Linked DNA regions of Sus scrofa. The main gene of each other region encodes a partner of the protein of the gene in region 3 in a complex. Links are inferred from orthologs where the notes say so. Each region holds a gene or a part of one and is shown on either strand. Other genes may lie near its edges.

Region 1 (4,097 bases), on a different chromosome or scaffold from region 3:
GGTGGTAAAAGCTACAGGTTTCCATTTATAAAGTAAGTCACAGTGACTCCAGTTAATAATACCATAATACCGTATTTGTGGAGTTCCCGTTGTGGCGCAGCAGAAACAAATCCGACTGGCATCCATGAGGAGGTGGGTCTGATCCCTGGCCTCACTCGGTGGGTTAAGGATCTGGCCTTGCCGTGAGTTGTGGTGTAGGTAGAAGATGCGGCTCAGATCTGGCAATGCTGCGCTGTGGCTGTGGCGTAGGCTGGCGGCTTTAGCTCCGATTTGACCCCAAGCCTGGGAACCTCCATATGCTGTGAGTGTGGCCCTAAAAAGCAGAAAGAAATAAATAAGTAATAAAATAATAACACCGTATATTTGAAAGTTGCTGCAAGAGTAACTCTTAAGAGTTCTCGTCACAAGAAAGCAAACATTTCTGCGGTGACAGGGGTTAACTGGACTTAGTGTGGTCATCACTTCAGAACGTACACAGTATTAACCCAGTAGGTAGTGCGACCGAAACGAGCGTGTTCTCTGCCCACTACGCCTCAATGAAAACGAAAAGAAACGGTGTGGAGGGAGGAGACGCAACAGCATGGGCAAGGTGGTCCTGTGTGGAGGGTGCGGCCGCGTGCACGTACCTGTCGGGGCAGAGGGAGGCGTAGAGCAGGAGCAGGGGCCCGGCCCCAACGACCGTGGCCAGGGAGGACCTCATCCAGGAGCTGAGCTGGCAGAAGTTGCAGTAGTGCACCACGGCGATCAGGACAGCCGAGCCCGTGAACACGGTGGACTGCAACAGGGGCGGCCCGGGTCAGCAGCCCAGCCCCTTCCTCGCCACGCCGACCCACCTGCCCCCCCGCCCCCCGGGGCCCCGAAAGCAGACGCAAGGCCCAATGACCTGTCCTCCTGTTCAACAAAACACACAGCAATTTCCAGGACAGACGGTCAGTTGTGAGACCAATGACCCAGGGCTCTCGGCGACAAGCCTCACTGGTACTAAAATGCCTCTCTCAACGTGTGCAAGTTGCACACGTCACCTTGGGGGCGGGGGGGGGGGGAGGCAGACGGCCCTGGGTGAGAACGGCCACCGTGTCATCAGTTACCTCCCCAAGGTCTGTCCTTCAGGCACCCTGCTGCGTGTCAGGTGCGTGTAAGTTAAAGCGTCAAATGCGGTCAGCCTACCCAGTAACTCATGCTTCACTCTTTGGTACCAAACGTGCCATCTTTCCCATCAGCCTGAAATCACTCTTTATGAGGTTTAACTTGGCAGCTCCTTTCCTAATCAACAGCAGCCGATCCAGGAGCAAGTCGACTGGGCCAGTTCTGCAGACGAACTTATCATCATTTTTTTTTCCTCTTTAAAAAAAAATTATGTACAGCTGCAGACGAACTTATCATCATTTTTTTTCCTCTTTAAAAAAAAATTATGTACAGCTGATGCACAGCAGCTACCGCCCTGAAGCATCTGGAGATGCGGGACACGCCGCCTCGTCGAACGTGGAAGGAAGGAACAGACGTGGGACTTCGGGAACACGGGGGGAGGCTGGAGGGACACAGGCTCTGGGGACTCTCCCCAGGGCGTCGCAGGGGGTCCCTGGGCTGCCCCTCTCCCCCACCTGTCTGTTCCTCTGTCCTGTGAGCTCAGAGAACCGACAAAGAGCACGCACCTCTGTAAGGGCTGTGTTTAAACAGCTGACCTGAGCCGAAAGGCTTCTTTAAAAAAGACAGTGATGAGGGACCCAGAGGGGCGCAGACAGCAAGTCCCCAGGCCTTTACTTACGTGTATGTCCATCTCAAATTTGGAGGTGACGTGTGAGTAGACGGCGAGGGCGGGGAGGGACACCAGGATGGCCCCGATGCAGTGGTGCGGGAGCCAGCCAGCGATCCACTCCAGCAGGCGCTTGGTACAAGCCATCACGTCCTCCAGGAAGAACGCCATCCTGTGTGCGTGGGGGAAGCGGGGCGCCTGTGAGGGCTGAGCCCACCGGGGAGACATGGGCGCCAGCCCGGGGGGCAGGCAGAGCCCCCGCTTCGGTCACTGCTGGGGGGGCAAGGACAGTGGACTCTCTCAGCCCATCACCCCTTAGTTTAAGGTCACCTGCTGGGTCCTGATAAGACGTGCTCTAGCAGAGGCCTCTGTGGGCCTGAAAGGCATGTAAGAGCCAGGCCGGCAACACTCTCAGGCCCTGGAAATGTCGGTCCCCTGCTGCCTGCCTCCGGGGCAGGAGGTCTCGAGTGGGTGGCTCAGGAGGTGTGTGGAATTTGGGGGGCTTTTTGTTGCCTTGGTGGTCGAGGGTGCCATGGCCTCCAGCAGGCAGGACTAGGGGTGGGCACTGTCCTGTGATGGACCATGAGCCTCTGCCCTGCGCCCCACACGTCACCGCCCTCCAGACACAGAAAACCTGCTGAACTGACCTCTACCTAGAGCCTAATTGCCTTTCGTTTGCAAACAAAACAGGAACATACAGAATTTTCCAGGAGCGCAGCAAATGGCTAAACCAGACAAGCTTTATCTGGGACATCACCAAGGGTTGCTCAGCCTCTCAGAAGTCCTGTCACAGGCTCCTGGGGCTCGTACCACCAGACACACTGTACCAGGAGCTGTCACCTTCTCTGCGCATGAGGGCAAACAGCTGACGCCTGTGGTGTGGCCCCCAGGTGGCGGAGGCCAGCGCACTGGAGGGGAAGCGTTACCTACATGATTCTAAGCGGCTTTCTTGCCGTTTTGCCTTCACGTGGAGAGGTGGCCTTCCACTGACTGCCTTTGAAATTGTGGGTCCAGGTGGGCTACACCTGCAGGCAGTGAGGCGGCACTGCAGACTGTTTCTCCCAAGAAGGGGGAGCTGAGCGCATGGGACTGAGAAACCCTGCTCTGCAGGAGGAATTCCTGGGTCGGAAGCAGCGGGAGGTGGAGGGGAGGGCGCTGGGGGTCCGCCCTGGGAGGGAGACCCACCACAGGCCCTCCCCAGAGCTGGCCCTCGGTGGAGAATGGAGCTGAGAGAGGTCCGCCATGCTCATCTCAAAGGCACAAAGCCCGCCAAGGCCTCTCGCACGCACCCAGGGTCCAAGCCTTTGGTTCCACAGGTAGGTCCTGGGATCCCCGACCCGCCCTCTGCAGAGCAAGAGGAACCTGCAGGCACAGCTGGGCCCGGGGTCCTCATGGCCCACGGGCCTCTGCGGACTCCAAGCTGACTTGGCCCAGATTCTTTCCAACTGGGTCTGAAGAACAGGGGACAACCTTGAAAACAATTCTCAGAACAGGTATGGAGACACCCTTGCCTCAGAGGAATGGAGCTCCCCACCCAGTTGGGACAGAGACCCAGGGCAGGGAGGGCAGTGACTGCACGTGGGTCCCGGGTACCTTGGCAGGGGCACGGAGCCAAGGCCCAGAGGGCAGGCAGGCCCAGGGCAGGGCTGTGCTGTGGGGTCACCTGCCCTGGGCAGTGCAGCTCCAAGCCAGTGGAGAGTCCGGGGAGATGGGGGGATGTGCTTTAGAGGTCTCTCCGCCTGGGGGAGGTGGGGGGGGCGTGGGGCCTCTGGCCGTCAGGGACAGCCCTGGGCAAAGAGCTGAAGGGGATTGGGGGGGGCAGTCGGGAAAGGAGGGGGCACGTGTCCAGCTTGACCACTTCAAAGGGAGGGATCTTGCATCAGGAAGCCTCAGGGGCAGACCCAGAGCTGTGGTTCCCTGTCCTGGGATGTCGGGAAGGGGCAGAAGCTCAAGGCCAGGGCCGGTCTCCCCACTTCTCTCTGCTCCCTCGTGTGGGCTGTCCTGCTGAGAGCCGCAGGGCTGGAGGGGTGGGCCCAGTGCAAGGACCCAGGCCGTGGCACGAGAGGCGCTGTGATGTCTGTGTTCACGTGAGCGGGGGCCTGGGTATCTGTATCCAGCAGCAACGCTGTGAGCTTCCTGGGGGGCCACACTGAACCCTGAAGGCAGGCTGGGCAGGTCCTGAGGGCCCAGCTTCCCAGAGGGGCCCAGCTGTCTATTCTGACCCACAATCCACTTTCAAACGGGTGCTTCCCTTGTTATCACTGAGCCAATGCTCTAGATATCAGCTCAGAGACCACTGCCTGAGAGAGCAGACGAAGACCCAGGCCTGTGCTTTCCTCTCCAG
Region 2 (4,872 bases), on a different chromosome or scaffold from region 3:
CATACCATATAATTATATATGATCCCAATGTATTTTTTTTACATACATATGGCATATGGAAGTTCCTGAGCACATGAAGCTCCTGCAGCATTTGGAAGTTCCTGGGCCAGGGGTCTAAACCGAGCTGCGGCTGAGACCTATGCCACAAGCCATGGCAACAGCAGATCTGAGCTGCATCTGTGCCCTACGCTGCAGCTTGGGGCAATGCCAGATCCAGATCCTTAACCCACTGAGCCAGGTCATGGATCGAATCCACATTACACAGAGACAATGTGAGGTCCTTAACCTGCTAAGCCACAGCAGGACTCCCTAATGTATTGCTGCACTGAAAAAGACCTGGAAAATAATATCTGTACAGTAGTTACCTCTCAGATGGAGAGAGGAGTGGAGGAACTTAAATTTATTTTCCTATATATATTTTATATTTTAAAAATCTTTTGTAATAACTCATACTTCTAAAAAATTACTATATTCCATTGTTTTATCTCTAGCCACATTGAAAATGTGGAATGTTCCCAAAGCTTCCTTGGGAATGCTCCCAGCATTCCCTCAACATATCTTCCATCAATGCCATCCTCCACCCAGCTGAGCATATAAATCGGCCAAGGAAACAGATCAAAACTAGCTGTAAGCACTCTCTTGGGGTAGGACTAGAATCACAGATGAGATTACTACTGGCTGAATGAATGAAGTATTGAGTCATAAAGTCAATCCTTCCTCCAAACTCCAGGTAGCACTGATAGGTATCTCCAATTCTGTGGATGTTTTTGGATCTCAAAGAAAAACAGCCAGAAAACACCACTTCTCCCCTCTAGTCATGCTTTATTGCACCTTGGAACAACAGCAAGTACTTCCTAAGGTTGCAAGCTGGCAGTCTGCAGATCATAACCAGCCTGCACACATAATTTGGTTGTCCTGTACATTTTGCAAAATGTTTTGAATTAGTTGCCAACTTTAAAAACATGGAGCTTTCTTCCACAAAAATTTGCAGCTTCCCCCTCCCCCTACCCAATTCAGATCAAGCAATGTGCTAGAACCTTGTCCACCAAGGCATGCTCTACACACAGCCCCCACACAACTCTCTTGCTTGCTCTCCTCCAGCACCCAGGCAGGCTTCCTGACTGGCCCTGGCAGCAAAGTTTATATTACAGAACTGTATGTACCTCCTTTGCCTGACATTCTAGATTCAGCTTAGCCCATTCTGCCTTCCATTGAACCCAACCAACCAACCCCGCCCTTCTGATCACATGGTCCAGCCTCATCTCTCAAACTCACTGCACAGGGCTGCAACACAAAGAGGATGATTTGACTACCTGCAGCATGAATTTCAATTCTAAATGCAAGGCAGGCCTTTTTGGGAAGAATCCCTATTCTTCCTGTCATGGTGATGGAGCTGTAGTGCAAGACAAAGTCCTGAGTTCAAGGACCCACCTGTGTGATGGAGCCCTGAATGAAAAGCATTAAGTCAAAAAACCTGAGTTCAATCTTGGCTCCCTGCTTGCTGAGCAGAGTACTTTTCCCCTTTTGAGTCTCAGCTGCCTCACCTGTAAAACTGGCTTATAAATACTTCACAGGGCTGTTATATGAATGAAATTTAAAAGTGTATATAAAAGTGTTTGGAAGCGTTTTAGAAGTATGAGTGTGAAATTGAGACAGGAAAAAAAGGGGTGCTGTGGAAGAAGTGACCAAAATGGATGACTGAAGCTCAGTTAAAGAGAGTTGGATGAAAAGTCCCTATCCCTGCGATCTGAGGTCCCTCTCATTTCCTTGCTTTCCTCTGGGGGCCTGGAAAATGCCTTTCCTCACCTGTCTTCCTGGCTGCAGTAAGAAGGATTATAAGGGAAAGCCACCTACTACTTCCCAATGTAGTAACTCTCCAAAGCTCATTTCCAGGTCCAGGTCACAGGAGGAGAAGAGGTGAGGCTGAATCCGTGCTGGCTGGATGGGGAGAGGGCACAATGACGCCCACCTCACCCCCACGCCCCGCTGGCTGATTTAGGCTAATGATTTCGGTGTTATCATTATCCCCATCAAGGAACTGAAACCGTTTCCCTCCAAAACCATACCACCTTCACAAGGAGGAGCAAATGACCTGCTCTTGAAAGCACTTCACAAAACGAATTAAAGACACATTAACGGACAAAAATAGTCTCAAAGATGTGCGATAAAGTGATGCCAACGCACCGCTGTGTGGTTACTAGAGAGCAGATCCTTTTGATGCACCCCAGAGCATCCGAGAATCCAACAGACATTCTTACCCTACATATCTTTATCAAAAGGTTGCACGGGGGTTAAGCTCTGGCGCAGAAAGCAGACCAAGTCCCCCCAAAGCTAACCGAGTCTCCCTCTCGCAGATATGAGGAGAATCGCCCATCTGGCGGCGGCTAGCTGGGCCGGGCGACTTCTGGGTGCATCCTCCGCCCAGCTCCAGTAGCACCGCCCTGAGCCCCGACTGGGAGGATGTAACTCACCTGGTCCTCACGGATTGCAGCTGAGGGTCGAGGCCGCTTAGCCCCACACATCTGTCCCGGAGCAGGGCGTAAAGCTCCATGGACCGAGGGGGCACGACCCCCATCAGCTGGGTTCTGGGGAAGCGCCAATGTTCTCCCTTCCTGGGGGTCTCGAAAGGGGGCTTCAGGCGGCGCCGGAGAAACCAGGCAGGCTAGAGGCAAGGGCCTCTCAGAAGCCCCTCGATGTAGAGGAGGGGCGCGCCCCCAAGATCTTCCCACAAAGAGCCAGGGCTCCCCGAAGCAAAACGGACTGAGGCGGGGGGGACATCCCCCTTACCTCCAAGGGGGCGCGGAGGGAAGAAAAGCGCTGTGGGGGCAGGGAGGCCTGGGGGAAGGGGGCGCGGAGACCCCGCTCGGCCTGCACCCCCGTGCCCTCCAGCCCGACACAATGAACTCACCCCCACTCCATCCCCGCCCGTGCCCCAGCCGGTACTCACCGAGGAGCCGCCGCCGCAGCAGCAGTTCAGGGTCCGGCCGGGCCGCCTCCCCGCCTCGGCCGCTGCTTCCTTCCTCCCGGCCGCGCTCGGGGACCGGAGGTTTCGGGTTTCAGCCCGCGGAGCCCCGCTTCGCTCCTCCCGCCGCCCCGCCACCAGCACGAGGACCCGGCCCGGCGCAGGCCAAGTAACTTTGCGGCGCTCGCGCCCCTCCTCCGCCGGCGCCGCCCGCCCCTCCTCCGCCGCCCCGGCGCAGCCCCTACGCCCGCGGGCCTCCCCAATCCCCCGCTCGGCCCCGCCCGAGCCCCGCGCGCAGCTGCCCCTCCCCTCCCGGGCGCCGCCGCTTCCCATCCCTCACGCCCCTTCCTTGGCGTCTGCCCTCCCTCCCGGCCACTTTGCCATTTCTTCCCACGATTGGCCTCAGCTCCTGCTCTTTGTCTCGCCCCTACCCTTTCGGCTCGCACCACTTTTCTCCCGTAAACCTTTCTGGTCCTTCCTCGGGCCTTCCCCGATCCCGTTGCTCGTCTCAGTTCCAGCCGTTGGGACATCCCCTTTTCCATTTCTCTATCACACTTTCGGATTCTTCCTGTAGGGTCCGCACAGTCCCATTCTCCTGCTCCTATCTCGCCGTGGACTCCTCCTGGCATCGCCTTTCCTGCTCCCCTTTCATTCATCCAGGCACTGTCCTGTGCCCTGGCAATATCACAGTGAATCGACCTCGAAGCCAGCCTTTGCGGACCCCAGAGCCCTTGCGAGTGGCAGGGTGGGTGTAAACAGATCTTTACAATGCTACTCTCCCCTCGCTCTGAACCTAAAGGCCGGGGAGCAATAATCACAATACACAGATCAGGGTGCGGCCAGATCAGAGAACAGAACAATTCCTTCTCATATTGCTTTTTTTCCACGTCCCTTCTCCCCACGTTATGTGCCATCCCTAGCCTCTTGTATTTTCTGTGTAGCAATCTTAAGAAAGGGACAAAAAAGTTGAACCGAACGGTAAAACTGCCTTAGGAAGGGAGGGAAGAAAAGGAAGGGAGAGAAACAGGGCAGCAAAAGAATCAGTTTAAGACGTTATCAGAGTTTAGGTTGTAGCTCATTGGGCTACGAAGATGCGGGTTCAATCCCTGACCTCTTTCAGTGAACACCCCCCAACCCTTGCCCCAAGATGCAGGTAGGTGTAGATGTGGCTGGCATCTGGTGTTACCCATGGCTGTGGCTAGGCCTCAGTTGCAGCTCCCATTCGACCCATAACCAGGGAACTTCCATATGGTGCAGATGGGTGCTGGAAGGAGAAAAGAAAAAAAAAAGTTATAAAGCCTAGTTTACCGAACTCCAGCAAAAAGTGACGGCCTTCCCAGGATTCAAATTCCTCTAAAATCCATCTGCTTTAATAAATGCATTAGTTAGTCCCTTGTCTACAGACTGGCACTGGGGGAGTTGCTTTCTTCTTCTTATTAGGCCATTAAGGTACCATTTAGAAGGATAATTTACTAGAGCACCTGATGTAAAACCCAGCTTGTCTTCAGGGACAAATGGGATAATGAGGACACAAAAAGTAAATGGGGTGGCTTAATATTCCTATGAGACAGATGCTTTATTTGGTCAAAAACTGGAAGCTGAAACTCCTCTCAGAGTCTAGGTCACCAATAAGCCAGATGCCTGAAGGTGCTTCAAGCAGTCTGTTCTCAAGAGTATTTTAGACTTTCATTCTGAAATTCCTGTTTATTTATTTTTTATTTGCATCGACTCAGACACTGGCTTAGCTTTGTGACCCAGGGGGAGTTATTTAACCTCTCTGAATCTCAGCTTATTCATATATAAATTAGGCATACTCATACCTTCCTATCTGTGGAGTTAAAGAGATGAAATGAGATAACATAAGTAAATTGCCTAATGCTGTAGAACCTGAGAGCTAAACCCTTTTAAAA
Region 3 (4,614 bases):
CCCCGACACGGGGCGCACGGGGTCCGGCCAGCCCGAGGCCGGGGGCAGGCAGGGCGCCCGGGCCAGGCGAGAGCCAGGCACCCCGAGGTGGCCAAGCCACCATGCTGAAGATGGCCATGAAGATCAAAGCTCGAATGTCGGGGAGCGGGAGGAAGACGGCGGCGGCTGCGGCCGAGGTTGCTGCCGAAGCTGCGGCGGTGGCTGCAGCGCTGGCCGAGCCCCACGCGCCGCAGAAGAAAGGGGACGCCGAGAAGCCCCCCAAGAAGCCGGCGCGAGACGCGCCCCCCGAGAAAGAGAAGTTCCTCACCGAAAAGGAGCAGCGGAAGATCGAGAAGAAGCTGCTGGAGCAGAAAAGAAAAGAAGAGAAGAAGAAGGAGAAGGAGAGGAAGAAGTTGGAGAAGATGCAGAAGACGAAGAAGAAGAAGAAGAAGGTGCCCGAAGCCCCGGAGGAGGCCCGAGGCCCGGGGGTCGCCGCCGCCGCCGCCGCCGCCGCCGCCGAGGGCGCCGCGGAGGGCGCCGACGGGGGCGGCGTGGACGCCGGCACCGTGGGCATGAGTAGGATCTGGGTCGAGTGGGAAACGGACTCGGACTCGAGCGACGAGGACGACGACGACGACGAGGACGACGACGACGAGGACGACGACGACATCTCCGACGCCTTTCCAGGCTTCAGGGGCACCTCGTGGGGGTCCGGGCTGCTCAAGATCGGCGGGCTGAGCTCCCACCTGCCACTCCTGGCCTTCCTCGTCTTCTCCGTGCGCAGCCCCGCGTGGGTGCTCGACTTCCTGCTGCAGAAGCGCCCGGAGCAGGGCCGCGGCTGCGGCTTCTTTTTCGGGGCGACCTGCTGCTTCCGAATGTTCCTGGGCTGCGCCTTCTTCTCCTTCTTGGGCGGCCGGGCCAAGCGCAGAGGCCGCGGGCGCACCGGGGCCTCGGGTGCCTTCGGCTCGGGCCATGGCGCCCGGCGCCGGGGGCTCGACGAGCGGTTCGTCTAGTCAGACCCCCCGCCCCCTCCCCCGCCACCGCCACCAGACACCACCATCGCTGTGTAGTGTGGAGTTTTATTGAGCATTTGTGTGTGTGTTTGGACACATTTTCCTTTTCGGTTGCTCTGTCCTTTGGTTCGTGCTCGCCTCGCTTTTTCCACACTCCCTGCTCTCTGGCTCTCTCTGTGTCTCTCTCTTCTTTTCGAAAATTTTCCTAAGTCCGGGCTCGGGCTCGCGCTCCCTCCCCTTCCGCCCACCCCGGCCCCTCGGCGGCGCCCGCGGGAGGTGGGGGGGGGCCTCGGCCTCGGGGGCCGCCGGGCGACGCGGCCCGGGGGTGGAGCGTTGGCGTCGTGCGAGGGGTCGTCACCGGCTCGGAGACGCCCCCTCTCCCCCCGCGGCCGGCCCCGTTTGGGGCCCGAGCCAGGGGGGTGAGGGGGCGTCTCCCAGGCCTGTCCCGTCCCGGGCCGGGCGCAGGCGGAGGGACCCCCCTCCCCGGATACCGGGGGGGCGCCTCCCTCCGCCAGCTCCCGCCCTCCCCGCCGCCGCGGCCGCTGCCGCGGCTGCTCCTCATCCCTCCTCCTCCTCCTCCTTCCACCCCCCTCGCCGCCGCCGCCTCCTCCTCCCCCCGCCTCCCCCCGCCCGCCGCGGAGCTTTGGGTCGGGGCGGCGGCGGGGCCCCGGCCGAGGCAATAAGAGCGGCGGCGGCGGCAGCGGCGGCAGCAGCTCCCGCAGCTCCTGCTCTGGTCCGCCTCGCCCCGCGGCGGCCATCAGACCCCTCGGCTTCGGCGCGAGGGGCCGGGAGCCGCGCGCTCCCCTCGGTCAGACCGACACCACCCTCCCCGCGCGCTCCTCCCCGAGGAGCCGAGCCCGCGCCCGGCCCGCCCGCCCGGCGCTGCCCCGGCCCTCTCGGCCCGCGTGAGGCCGCCCGCGCCCGGCCCCGCCGCCGCCGCCGCAGCCCGGCCGCGCCCCGCGCCCCGCCGCCGCCGCCATGGGCTGTCTCGGAAACAGTAAGACCGAGGACCAGCGCAACGAGGAGAAGGCGCAGCGCGAGGCCAACAAAAAGATCGAGAAGCAGCTGCAGAAGGACAAGCAGGTCTACCGGGCCACGCACCGCCTGCTGCTGCTGGGTAAGGGCGGGGCGGGGGGCGCCGGCCCCGGCCCGGCCCGGGGGCCCCTCGGGGCGCCCCGCAGGCTGCGCGCGCCGAGCCCGCCCCCGCCCCGGGCGCGCGCTCCCGAGCCCGCCGCCCGCCCGCGGGTTCAGTCTCTGGGGGGCGAGGCCGGAAGGGGGACCCCGGGGCGCAATTTGGCCGGGCGGGGGCTCAAAACGGGGCGGGGGGCCTTGGCGACGCGGGCGCGGGTCCCCCTCCCCCGGCCCGCCGCTCTCTGTCTCTCTTTCGCCCTCCCCTCGCTCTTTTCTCTGTCTCTTTTTCCGCGAGGCCTACACGACGCCAGGGGTTTGGGTGCGTGTTGGGGAGGGGGAGGGGAGTCCCACAGGGCTCCCGAGACTGCGACAAAAAGAGGGTTTCGGGGACAGGAAATGGGGTGGCGGGCAGAGGGAGGGGGACCCGCCTCCGTGGGGTGTGTGATTTGTTGGGAGAGGGACAGGGAGAAAGAAAGAAAGAAAGGGGCTAGTAGAGGAGGGGGTGACGCGGGGGGGGGCGCCGCAGCGACAGAGGGGGCCTCGCCGAGGGGAGCTGTGGCGGGGGAAGTGGCCGAGGAGAGTGGGGGGGGGGCGGGTGACATCAGCCCCTCGGAAGGGACCGGAGTGGTAAAGGTGGTGCAGCGAGGGGGAGGGGGCGCGGGCGAGTCGTGGCGCCGGACTGGGGGGGGCGGGGAGGAGGGAGCGCGGCGGCCGCTGGGCGCGACTTGGTGCGTTTCGGGCAGGACACACTGTGTGCGCGGAGCAGACGTGTCCCGGGCCGTGGAAGGAAGAGGAGAATCAAATAAAATGAGCCCGAAAAAAAAAAACAAAAAACAAAAAACATGGAGTTAGTACGCTAAGTGCCCAGTGAAGCCAAATGACACGTCATTTTACAGTATGACCTTTTTTTCCCCTTCCAGATATGCAGGCTTTTTGAAAAGCAAAGAAGAGAATTAATTGTAGCAGCTGCTGCCCCCCCCCCGCAGCAGCGCCCCCCCATAAACCATTAACACACACACACACACACACACATTTTCCTGTTAGTCGGCCACATTGAGAGTGCTTTGTTGAAAAAAAAAAAAAAAAGACATTCACAAATCAGAACTGGAAAATGACATTTGTCTGGAAATGGCTTCTTGGTCTGGAAATGGCGTGGTTTTTCTGTCCTTTTCAAGGTGGGAGGGGGGCTTGAGAGCGCTTTAAGGAAAAAGACTTTTCCCAGGTGGAAGGAGATGAGAATACATTAATTAGTTGTTTGTCAAGTGACATTTGGTTGTTTGGATTTGGGTTTTTCTCTTTTGATTGCGGTTTTTCCTCTCTGGCCAAAAAAAAAAAAAAAAAAAAAAAAGGCGTGGTAACTATAAAGAGAGGGCCCTTTCCCCCCTTTTTTCCTCCAAGGTGCTGCTTTGGAAAAAATAAGTAAAAGAAGCATAAGAGAAATTGTTGAAATGACCAGAAGAATCACACAAGCATTAATTAGTATGGAAGTTTTCCACTTCCTTGGTAATTTGGCTGAGTTAATTTGTGAATTTGCTAGGTTAAGACCTAGTTCATGGTCGCATATCAACAAAACAGCTTGATTGTAAAGAATAAAATATAAAAGGGCTGTTTTTTTTTCTTTGTGGTGGAGCAGGGTTGGCTTCTTTTGATGGGTCACGTCTTTGTTCTCCTGGGTCCAGGTTCATCTAAAGCAGAAAATTACTAATTAAGTGAAAATAAGTCTCTTTGGTGTTGATGCATTTGCAATGACAATAATTAAATGATACATATGTTGGAGTGTTGGCAAGACTTCTAAAGGTGGGATTATGCTGTGTGACTATTAATATGCATATGATTTGATTTCAAAGTATAAGCCTAGAAAAGTCTAGAATCTTTCCTAGGCACACTAGCTTGCTAGTTGAATACTAATTTCAACCAAGTGTGATGCTAACGGTACCTTAAATCTCAAACACCTTTGCACAATGTCTCCAGTTAATTTGGGACTGTTGCTCTCCACACACCTTGCATCACTGGGCTAACCTTTCCCCAGGTGTCCTAGCCCTTGTCAAAGTAGATTGACAGCCTCTGGCGCTGGGGTTTACTGCCCAAGCCAGTGTCACACATTTGCACTTTAAAATGGTGATTCTCAGCAAATAATGCCCCCCCTCCCCGAAAAAGAGGAAACCTAATGATGCCCAGAATCCTCTTTTTAATCCATCTTAACTTGACACCATGAAAATCAAGTAAATTACAGCAGCTCAAAAGACCTTGCAGTCGTTTTTTCCTTCCAATTCTAATTTCATAAATGTGGAAACTGAGGCACAAACCTGTTTGTGCCTGTAAAAGAGGTGCTGCACATCTGAGCACTTGTGAAATAGGAAGATTGGAGATTCTGATGAATACTGTGTATTCTCTTCATGGGATCTCTTAATAGGGCCTTTAATATTTTAATTTATGAGAGTTAGGCTCATTAAGATACAGTGTTTGCTTTGAAATCAATGTTTCTGTGGAA

What was found.
Region 1: the proteins of GNAS (region 3) and ADCY9 are in contact, whole or in part, in a cryo-EM structure (PDB 9U3P), measured with the Homo sapiens proteins. The link is inferred for Sus scrofa from reciprocal best matches to the Homo sapiens genes GNAS and ADCY9. Residues at the interface, in NP_000507.1 of Homo sapiens: Ile207, Glu209, Phe222, Arg228, Arg231, Arg232, Lys233, Trp234, Ile235, Gln236, Phe238, Asn239, Glu268, Leu272, Ser275, Ile276, Asn278, Asn279, Arg280, Trp281; in NP_001107.2 of Homo sapiens: Ala381, Phe382, Arg383, Phe1070, Glu1072, Tyr1075, Glu1076, Glu1080, Cys1081, Arg1083, Val1084, Glu1087, Asp1091, Phe1152, Asn1155, Met1156, Leu1157, Trp1158, Phe1159.
Region 2: the proteins of GNAS (region 3) and GPR161 are in contact, whole or in part, in a cryo-EM structure (PDB 8SMV), measured with the Homo sapiens proteins. The link is inferred for Sus scrofa from reciprocal best matches to the Homo sapiens genes GNAS and GPR161. Residues at the interface, in NP_000507.1 of Homo sapiens: His41, Lys216, Val217, Phe219, Phe376, Cys379, Arg380, Asp381, Ile383, Gln384, Arg385, His387, Leu388, Tyr391, Glu392, Leu393, Leu394; in NP_001254539.1 of Homo sapiens: Arg125, Ala128, Val129, Leu130, Pro132, Met133, Met137, Ile211, Val214, Ala215, Lys218, Ala219, Lys267, Ala268, Thr271, Ile272, Trp327.

What each region holds. Positions count from the first base shown.
Region 1 is NC_010445.4:38,284,591-38,288,687, reverse strand, and holds part of ADCY9 (adenylate cyclase type 9), read right to left. Parts: intron 1,926-4,097; coding exon 1,766-1,925; intron 776-1,765; coding exon 627-775; intron 1-626. UniProt on the Homo sapiens protein: Adenylyl cyclase that catalyzes the formation of the signaling molecule cAMP in response to activation of G protein-coupled receptors.
Region 2 is NC_010446.5:82,843,239-82,848,110, reverse strand, and holds the start of GPR161 (G-protein coupled receptor 161), read right to left. Parts: upstream 3,168-4,872; 5' UTR 2,948-3,167; intron 1-2,947. UniProt on the Homo sapiens protein: Key negative regulator of Shh signaling, which promotes the processing of GLI3 into GLI3R during neural tube development.
Region 3 is NC_010459.5:59,032,478-59,037,091, forward strand, and holds the start of GNAS (guanine nucleotide-binding protein G(s) subunit alpha), read left to right. Parts: upstream 1-1,628; 5' UTR 1,629-1,970; coding exon 1,971-2,109; intron 2,110-2,374; exon of another isoform or gene 2,375-2,442; intron 2,443-4,614. UniProt on the Homo sapiens protein: Guanine nucleotide-binding proteins (G proteins) function as transducers in numerous signaling pathways controlled by G protein-coupled receptors (GPCRs).